2 linked regions of the Arabidopsis thaliana genome follow. The protein of the gene in region 2 interacts with the protein of the main gene of each other region in a pairwise test. Each region holds a gene or a part of one and is shown on either strand. Other genes may lie near its edges.

The links. The genes of interacting proteins can lie anywhere in the genome.
Region 1: the proteins of LAP5 (region 2) and ACOS5 interact in binary tests that used the Arabidopsis thaliana proteins (3 or more experiments, as listed by UniProt).

Annotation. Positions count from the first base shown.
Region 1 is NC_003070.9:23,308,608-23,313,317, reverse strand, and holds ACOS5 (acyl-CoA synthetase 5), read right to left. Parts: upstream 2,787-4,710; 5' UTR 2,765-2,786; coding exon 2,681-2,764; intron 2,567-2,680; coding exon 2,237-2,566; intron 2,029-2,236; coding exon 1,450-2,028; intron 1,362-1,449; coding exon 1,017-1,361; intron 933-1,016; coding exon 865-932; intron 794-864; coding exon 571-793; 3' UTR 523-570; downstream 1-522. Other genes in the region: AT1G62935 (uncharacterized protein), read left to right, coding at 3,908-4,438. UniProt on the Arabidopsis thaliana protein: Carboxylate--CoA ligase that may use 4-coumarate as substrate.
Region 2 is NC_003075.7:16,606,248-16,610,331, reverse strand, and holds LAP5 (Chalcone and stilbene synthase family protein), read right to left. Parts: upstream 2,129-4,084; 5' UTR 1,984-2,128; coding exon 1,800-1,983; exon of another isoform or gene 1,696-1,799; coding exon 1,129-1,695; intron 1,040-1,128; coding exon 612-1,039; 3' UTR 503-611; downstream 1-502. Other genes in the region: A/N-InvB (Plant neutral invertase family protein), read left to right, coding at 82-377; AT4G34840 (Phosphorylase superfamily protein), read right to left, coding at 2,584-2,781, 2,892-2,984, 3,102-3,176, 3,308-3,382, 3,482-3,588, 3,677-3,768, 3,836-3,899, 3,973-4,033. UniProt on the Arabidopsis thaliana protein: Plant type III polyketide synthases (PKSs) that catalyzes the condensation of malonyl-CoA units with various CoA ester starter molecules to generate a diverse array of natural products including long-chain alkyl alpha-pyrones.

The sequences.
Region 1 (4,710 bases), on a different chromosome or scaffold from region 2:
GAGTATTGAAGTACTGAAGTAGTTATACATTGGAGAAAGTGAGAAAGTTGAATAAAAGAAAAGTAAAGTGAAAGACGATAAATTCTCCATCCTTGAGCTATTTCAAGTTTCAACTAGACAACTATTATCTTGGTTATATAATAAGGAACTATGAAGATTAAAAATTGAGAATTAGATTAGTACGATATCTTTGGTGATAGAGTTTATGTCCTATATTTTAGGAGTTTGTGTTTATATCTTGTTGAGTTCATTGTGAATAAATACTCATAGTTTGCGAATTAATGAAAGTAAGTCAGTTCAATATCTAATTCTACAGTATAACTTTTTACAGCATGAGAAAGCAGCGTGTTTTTGCGGTTTAAAATTGTTGTTCCGTGAGTTATATCAATGTTTTGATTAAAATCTTTCGAGGAGATAGTTTAATCTTTTTAGTTGTTGCGCGGTGCAGAATTGAACTGTAGAATTTCCTAATCAAGGAGCAATAATAAAAACCACAAAGAGTATTTATTGTTCAAGGACATTCTTAAATCAAAGTAGATTAATTAAAAGCTTGTAAGAGTTTTCTTTCTTCTACTTCTTGTTGATGCTGAGGATCTTGTCTCTAAGAAGCCTCCTCATGATTTTACCAGAGAGAGATTTAGGGATTGAATCCACAAAATGGACGGCTCTAACCTTCTTGTAATGAGCCACATTTGCTGCAACAAAGTTGAGAATGTCTTCTTCCTTTTCTGTCGCTTTCGGATTTATCACCACGCAAGCCGCCGGAATCTCCCCGGCTTCCTCGTCCGGTAACCTTTTCATTTCATGTTTTAATATATCAGTTTCAAGAAATCATTAGGGCAATATATTTATATAGATACTCACGGCACGACGGCAACGTCTTCAACGGATGGATGAGTGAGTAGAATAGCTTCAAGCTCGGCCGGAGCAACCTATTGGAAAAGCTTCAACTTTGAAAATCCGGCCAATATGAAACAAGGAAGAATTATGTTTAATCTTTGGTATAAACATTTTACCTGAAAACCTTTGTATTTAATAAGTTCTTTGATACGATCAACGATGAAGATGTCTCCATCATCATCGATGTAACCTATGTCTCCTGTGTGAAGCCAACCTTGTTCATCAATTGTCTTGTCAGTCTCTTCCTTGTTCATGAAGTAACCTTGCATTACACATTGGCTCCTCACACATAGCTCACCAGAAGTGTTCTTCGGGAGTGATCTACCGGTGTCAGGATCTATGAACTTTACCTCGAGATTCGGAAGTATGAAACCAACCGAGTTTCGTTTCGCGATTCCTTGTCCTTTCTCTGGATCTCCGTGAGTTAACGTAATGCAACTATGCTCCGTTAATCCATAAGCCTAATATATATATATATATATAACCAATCAAAACATCATTGAACATGAATAATAAGGTAATAACTAACATAAAAGTCTTAAGTCTTACCTCTTGGACTTGGACATTAGGAAACTTGGCTTCGAAGGCAGTAAGAAGCTCAGGAGCTAAAGGAGCAGCAGCAGTCATGACAGACTGAAGTTTAAGCTTCGAAAGATCAAACTCATCAACTATCGGATTCTTAACAAGATTCAATATAATCGGCGGAACTATAGGCGCAAACGAAACCTCATGAGCAATCAAAGCATTCAAGAAAATCCTTAGATCGTACCGACTCATAGCAACAACTTTGCCTTTATTCTTCATTGTAGCACAACATATGCCAACGATACCGTAAATATGAAAGAATGGGATCAAACCAAGCGTCACGATCTGACCGATCATTTCAGACCTGACACCGAAGAGAGTAGAGCAAAGATTGGCTATGAGATTGCGATGTGTGAGCATTACTCCTTTTTGTAATCCTGTTGTTCCTGAAGAAAAAGGAAGTGCACAAAGATCTGTCTGAAGAATCTCTTCATTGTCGGTATCTCCGCATTTGTCTCCTGCTTCTAGAAGATCTTTCCAGTTTACTGCTCCTTCTATCTTCTCTTCACCTAACACTATCACCGGTAAACCTAGTGATTTCACCTGTCCAAAACAAACAGTAAATGTTTCACAAATAAATCGAGTTTGGTGATTGGTTGGTTTAGTTCAGCTTGGCTGTGGAATTATGTCGGTTTGGTTTTTAGTCTATACCATATATTGCAGCAACCAAACCGAACGAAATTATCATGTGCATACATTTGCTGGTTAAAAAGTTTTCCAAATCATATAGAAAACAGTAATGTTTAATTACCTTTTCATAGTTAGTAGCATCAGTGATGATTCCTCTAGCACCGGAAGCTTCAACTTGCTTCTTGATCTCGGAAACAAGAGCCGTCGGATTTGCACCGGAGAAGACTCCACCGGCAGACATAATACCAAGGGCAATAATCCCATACTCGGCGACGTTTGGTAGGACCACAACCATCACTTGACCTTTCCTTAGTCCGAGAGATGTCAACGCTTTGGCTAGCCTCTTTGTGTCCCTCACTACATCACCGTACGTCACAGCTTTTCCGGTCACCGCTTCTACAAACGCTACATTCTCTGTGTATTCTTCAACTCCTTGGAGCACAAATTCAGGCTTTTTTCACATAGCCATTAGTTAATTCCATTAGTATTTATAAACCGAATCTTAACCTAAATTATAATAAACCGAAACCGGAAATGAAAAACTGTTCTTAGCTATATTAATTACCAGTGTAAGTTTGTCAGGAATGGGCACAGATGGATACAAACTGCGGAAAATGTATTCATTATCTTCTTGCTTTTGACTCTCCATTTTTAAACGAATTGAATTTGATTTATGTGTTAGGAACAGGGCCGGCTCTAGAGTGAATATAAATAGGAGAGTAGTTTCTTGTTCATGTCATGTCATGTGTGTGCAAACCAATTTTTGGTTATAGAAGAGGATGATAGTCTTTGACTCTCTTAGACATATTGTAGGTAGAGTTTTGTTGAGTCATGGAAATGATGTGAAAATATCTGAATTTATTATTTATGGAGTCCAATAAAAAAACATCTTCAAAAGTATTTTGTTCATACAAATTAATGTATTCTTTCTTAAACATTCTCTACTACGATCATATTACCGAGATTATAAATACAAAGTTTTCTTGTACTACTTATAAAAGAAACTATATTGTAATGTTTTATCAATGACTTTTAAAAGGTTAAGGTCTCATTTCTAAATGTCACGCGTACGTCATGATTCTAGAACGTGAAATATTGGATTTTCTCAACTTAGAAGCGAGAATGGATTATTCGATTTCACGTGAGTTGGCTTAAGGATTCAATTCCTTTGGAGATGCATGGTAGAAAAGGTTTGATCTAGATGAAATGTACGTAGAAAATGTGGTATGATTAGAATTTTGAATCTTACTTTATTCTTGATTTGGAAGATTTTATACAATGGTGGGGATTTAAGGGTTTAGGTCCTATAAATAGGTTGTGCAAAGTTCTTCAATACGAATTATTATTGTTATTGGCATGTTCATACTTTGATGATCTTAGAGTAAGGATCACAAAAACCTTAAATTAAACTACACCATATTTTTTATATTCTCATCTACATATATAGATTTAAATATTAGAAAAACATACTTTTAAAATGAGATAAATGACATACTTGTTACAATCATAACTTAAAAACTCATTGTGTCCCACTTCAAGAATCGTAAACTTCTCTCTCAAGAACATATATATTAATACTAAAGGTACACATACACAAATTCTTAGAACTTGCGCAGCAAGAAACAGACATGTGTACAACACATCCTTAGAATATTAAAACCTTTATTTTATATATGTTAAGTTTTACAATAACTTCACACAACAGACTTTTTCCACTCATTATCTCAGCAGAATTCATGGTTTTTTCCCGGAAAGTTACTCTTTTATTGATATAGATAGAGTCCAGATGAAGATGTTGAACATTATAATCAATGTCATGGAGATCATCTGGAGAACAATTGTTTCAACACTAATGCTCTTTTTCTTCTTGAGATATTTCAACAATCCTCTTCTTCTTTTCTTTTTCCTCTGTACGATTCTTTTCTTACTTATCATCGATCGTAATCGCTCTGTTTATGAAGAAACCGGAGATTTCTATGTTTTGTACACTTTTCAAGAAGACAATATGCTTGATGGTGAAATCATAGACAAGAACAGAGAATGTTGTGATTTCACAAGATATTACTATGATGATTGTTTTAGCTATTATGATGGTTTTGATGAAGTTGATAATGATGGTTGTATATGGAACGATGATGAAGATTTTAGCCAATGTAATCAAGATGGTGGTGATGATGGTATTGAAAACCGTGATGATGATGATAATCATGCCTATGGTGATGATGTTGATGATGACACATTGACGAGCAGGATTGAAGATTACATTGCAAACGTTTACAATGGATGGAGAGAAGAGAGACGAACCGACAAATTGTTTGTCTGATCTTTTCAAAACTCTGTTTTTCTCTCTGTAGTCTGTACATATGAAGAAATTGTTGTCGTGTGGTACATAAATTTGGTGTGTTAATGTGTTTCTTCAGCGCCGTTTATGACTGATGGATCTGCTATTTCATCGATCAATCAGTCGAATAAGGAGCGTGGTCTTTAAATTTCTTTGAACGTATGAACTTAACCAATCTGGAAGAATACTATTCAGGTGATAAATCATCGATTAGACAAGAAACAAATCTATATCAACATGAGAACATACTGACT
Region 2 (4,084 bases):
TCTGGTTCCTCTGTGGTATCTTAATCCTAGTAAATTGCTATTCTGACCCTTATTGATGTAATTATGTTTAATGGTACACAGTGCTGCTATGGCTTCTGACGGCTGCTTGTATCAAAACTGGTCGACCTCAAATAGCAAGACGAGCAATTGAAGTAGCAGAGGCTAGGCTTCATAAGGACCACTGGCCTGAATACTATGATGGAAAGGTAGGGAGATACGTGGGGAAACAGTCGCGTAAAAACCAGACTTGGTCAGTCGCAGGATACTTAGTAGCCAAGATGATGCTGGAAGATCCGTCACATGTTGGTATGGTTTGTCTTGAGGAAGACAAACAGATGAAACCCGTTATGAGAAGATCCAACTCCTGGACTTGTTGAAAACGTTGGAAAGAGATGAGCTAAGAAGAACCTTCTTCGTGATTCCTGGCTTTAATGCTGATAACGACTCTTTTCTTCATTTTTCAATTGCAAATTTTACGTTGCTTGCTTTGTGAAATATTTTTAGACTATGAAAGATTTAAGCATCGTAAAAAATATTTCGTATGTTTAGCTTCATGTCTTTATTAAAGCATAAGGGGTTCTTTCTCGATCTGCAAGGTAAAAACTTATTGTTCAGACATCAAGGTTTCGAGCGATAATGCCTTCAAATGTAACACCAGGTCCAAAAGCAAGAATCAGACCCCACTCGTTTTCTTCTTCATTCATGTTCCTCACTTTCTTGCTCTCCTCCAACATATACTCCAGCACATAAACAATTGAATTGCTGCTCGCATTGCCATAGTCCATGAGAGCTCTTCTGCTTGGACTCAGCTTCTCAGGCGACAGGTTAAGCCGCTTTTCAATCCGGTTCAAGATGGCTGGTCCACCTGGATGAACCGCCCAGAACATCTGGTTATAGTTCTTATGAGCCAGTCCCGCTTTTCCTATTAGCTTCTTGCAGAAATTCTCCACATTGTCTTCTATTATCTGTGGAAGCTCTCTCGATAGCTTGAAGTTTATCCCTTGTTCTGTTAGCCTTCCATCTATCGTCTTCTCTGTTTCTGCGCCATGAAAATGAAAATCCATATTTATCCAAGAATAGTCTCAAGGTATAGACATAACTGGATGCATAAATCTTGTGGTCTTTTACCAGGTAAAAAGTTCTGTATTGCAGTATGAAGCTCAAAGAGAGGCTTCTCGCAGATCGGGTCTGGATCGGATCCAATGATCATAGCTCCGGCTCCATCACCAAACAACGCGACCCCAACAAGATCATACGGTCTATCCACACTTGGGGGCTTGAACCCAATGATGGTTGTCTCAGACGTGGCAAGCAAAACTCTACTGCCCGGATTATTCTCGGCGATGTCTTTGGCTACACGGAGACCTGCAACGCCACCAGAACAGCCAACAAAGTAGAGCAGAACACGGTGTGTGTCAGGACTGAGTCCAAGCCCCTTGGCCAGGTACAAGTCCCCACCAGGAAGACGAGCTTCGCTTGAGGAGACATAGACAACGTGAGTTATGTCGGAAATAGAACGTCCCCAGTTCTTGATGCAGGCTCTGGAGGCTTCTACTGCCATCTCGGTCACTGCATCGTTGCAGATGTCTAGACGCTGCGTCACTGTGGATCCTCCTTCAATGGCAAGTTCTGGGTACTTCTTGAGAATCTCCTCTGACATCACAACATACCTTGTCTTCACCGTTGTTGTCTTGCCTGTATATAGTAAACGAACAGTTCAAACAAACCTCAGTTGCTGTTGCAGGAGCTTACAGAATGAGATAAAAAGTTGAAAACAGAGGTTAAAATGAAGAGATTACAGAGACGAGTAAGTTTCTGTTTGAGTTCAGGGTCATCACACTTGGTGGTTTTGAAGTAGCCATCGACTAAGTACTCTTGCATTACTAGCTGGTGAGGAAAGGCTTTTCCCAGAGCAAGAATTGTGGCTTTTCCCGGGTTTGATTTCTTCTCTGAACCCAACACTGCAGCATCGATGCTTCCCATTTGTATCTGTTTGTTGAAGACTCAAATCTTGGGTCTGTAAATAAGGTTCAAAGTGAAGGCATATATATACACTGCAGCTTTTGCAGTTTTGTGACCTGCATATTGTGCGGTATTTCTGTCTAGTTGATATTTGGTGAAGAGTAGGTGTGAGATTTAGAAGCTTCATGTTTATTGCATTGGCTCTTTCTAAAATCCAACTCCAGTTCTTTGAGATTTTTTTCTTGATACATAGTCTTTAGGCTTAGTTAAAAGCCAACACAAAGGTGTGTTATAGTTATAGTTGTTTTGTACATCTTCACACTTAAAAAGAATGAAAGAGAAACTAACTAAATTTTTTCTTCTGTTAACATCAATCATTCGAAATTGATATTAAAGAATTATGACTCTGTTGTTGGGTATCAAATTTGCTGAGTTTCTACATGTATGATGGATCATCAATAGAAAGACAGCAAAAAGAAATAGAGGAACAAATGAGAAAAGGTGAAGAGTTGAAATTTCTGCTCAAACCTATTCCCTACCTACGCCCTTTGCTTGAATCTTCATATGCTTTCTTCGCCCAATGCACATACTGAACAGATGAAACTTAATACGTATGACTTGTTAGAGGTCTGAGAGACATTTCCCACTGATGAAGTCAATCACTTTGGTAAGTGACTCATCAAGTTTGGCAGTGACTGCAGCTAAGTTCTCCAAAAATTCTTCAGAAGTTGGTCTATTGCCATCCACAATATCAGTCACACCTTTTATTAGAATCGTAGGCACTTTAAAGATATCAGCCACATAGGCCACTGCTGCTCCCTGAAATGCCAAGAATCCGTAAATAAGTCGTAGTAACTGATAAAGACACAAAGACAAACACATAGTATGGAGCCAGGTACATCAACACAGGAAACTTATGGATTGTTGACCTCCATATCTTTAACTGTAGCATCATTTGCTGTGATGGATTCTTCGTCATGTGGAGACATATCCATAGAATCGCCAGTGGATAATCTTCCCACCTGGGAACATTGCAACTAAATCATAAATCTACCACTTATGCAAACCATATCAAGAAATAACCAAAATCTTGCATGAGGATCAAATGGTGAACTCAGAGCAACTAATAAAGTATACACCTTTAGGTTCAGCTCCTTTATAAGGTTGGGTGTGGGGAAGGTGTTCCGCATACCAACACCATATATATCAAGGACCTGCAGAAAGTATAAAAATGTTTAGGAAAGGGCAAAAATATATGGAATTAGAATGCAAGTATAACACTCAAGAACATCAGGTTTACTTTGCAACTCATACTGATACATGAACAATACAAAGGAGCACTTACAGGAACAGGTATTCTTCTGTCATGGAAAGCAACAGTAGAGACAACATAAACATCGCTAATACATGCTCCTTTGGCCTGAAAAGACCATTTAAAAACAAGGAAGGGTGTTCATTATTTCTGACACATAAGAGGCATGAAACGAGAACTATGTAGAGAAATTTGTAATGTTGATACCTTAAAGCCACCAGCGGTTCCCGCATTAATGATTAAGTCTGGTTGAATTGCTAGAATGGAAGCATAAGTCACGAGTGATGCAGGAACTGTGCCAACACTCTCAACCCCTGAAAAACGAATTAACATCAAGAACTTCACAAAACATCTTGAAACACTATTTCACTTACAATCACTTAACCACATGGATACACATACCAAGAGTTGAATCTTTTCCAGGACACACTATATTGATGTTCAAGTCTTTATACATTCCCTTAAACATAATCCAAGTCACCTCTTTTGGAAACCTACAAAAAAGCTATCACATTTGATTTCGAATCAAAATAAAAAATTGAAAGAGGTCAAAGAACTCACGGAGTATTAACTTCTTCAACGAGGCGTAATCTGTTGATCAGAGGCTGAGCTTCCTTTTGCATAGCTTTTAATACACAAACCCATTAGAAGAAGAAAAAAAAATCACAATTCGAGAAATAGTAAAGACAAAATAGTACCAACGATGAAGACGATGGTAGAAATCGGCCGTTTCTCTACCTGACCCATAACACCTTCCATAGCAGCGTCTGAGAATCCGTCGCCGGCGATTCGTCAAGATCAAATTTCTAG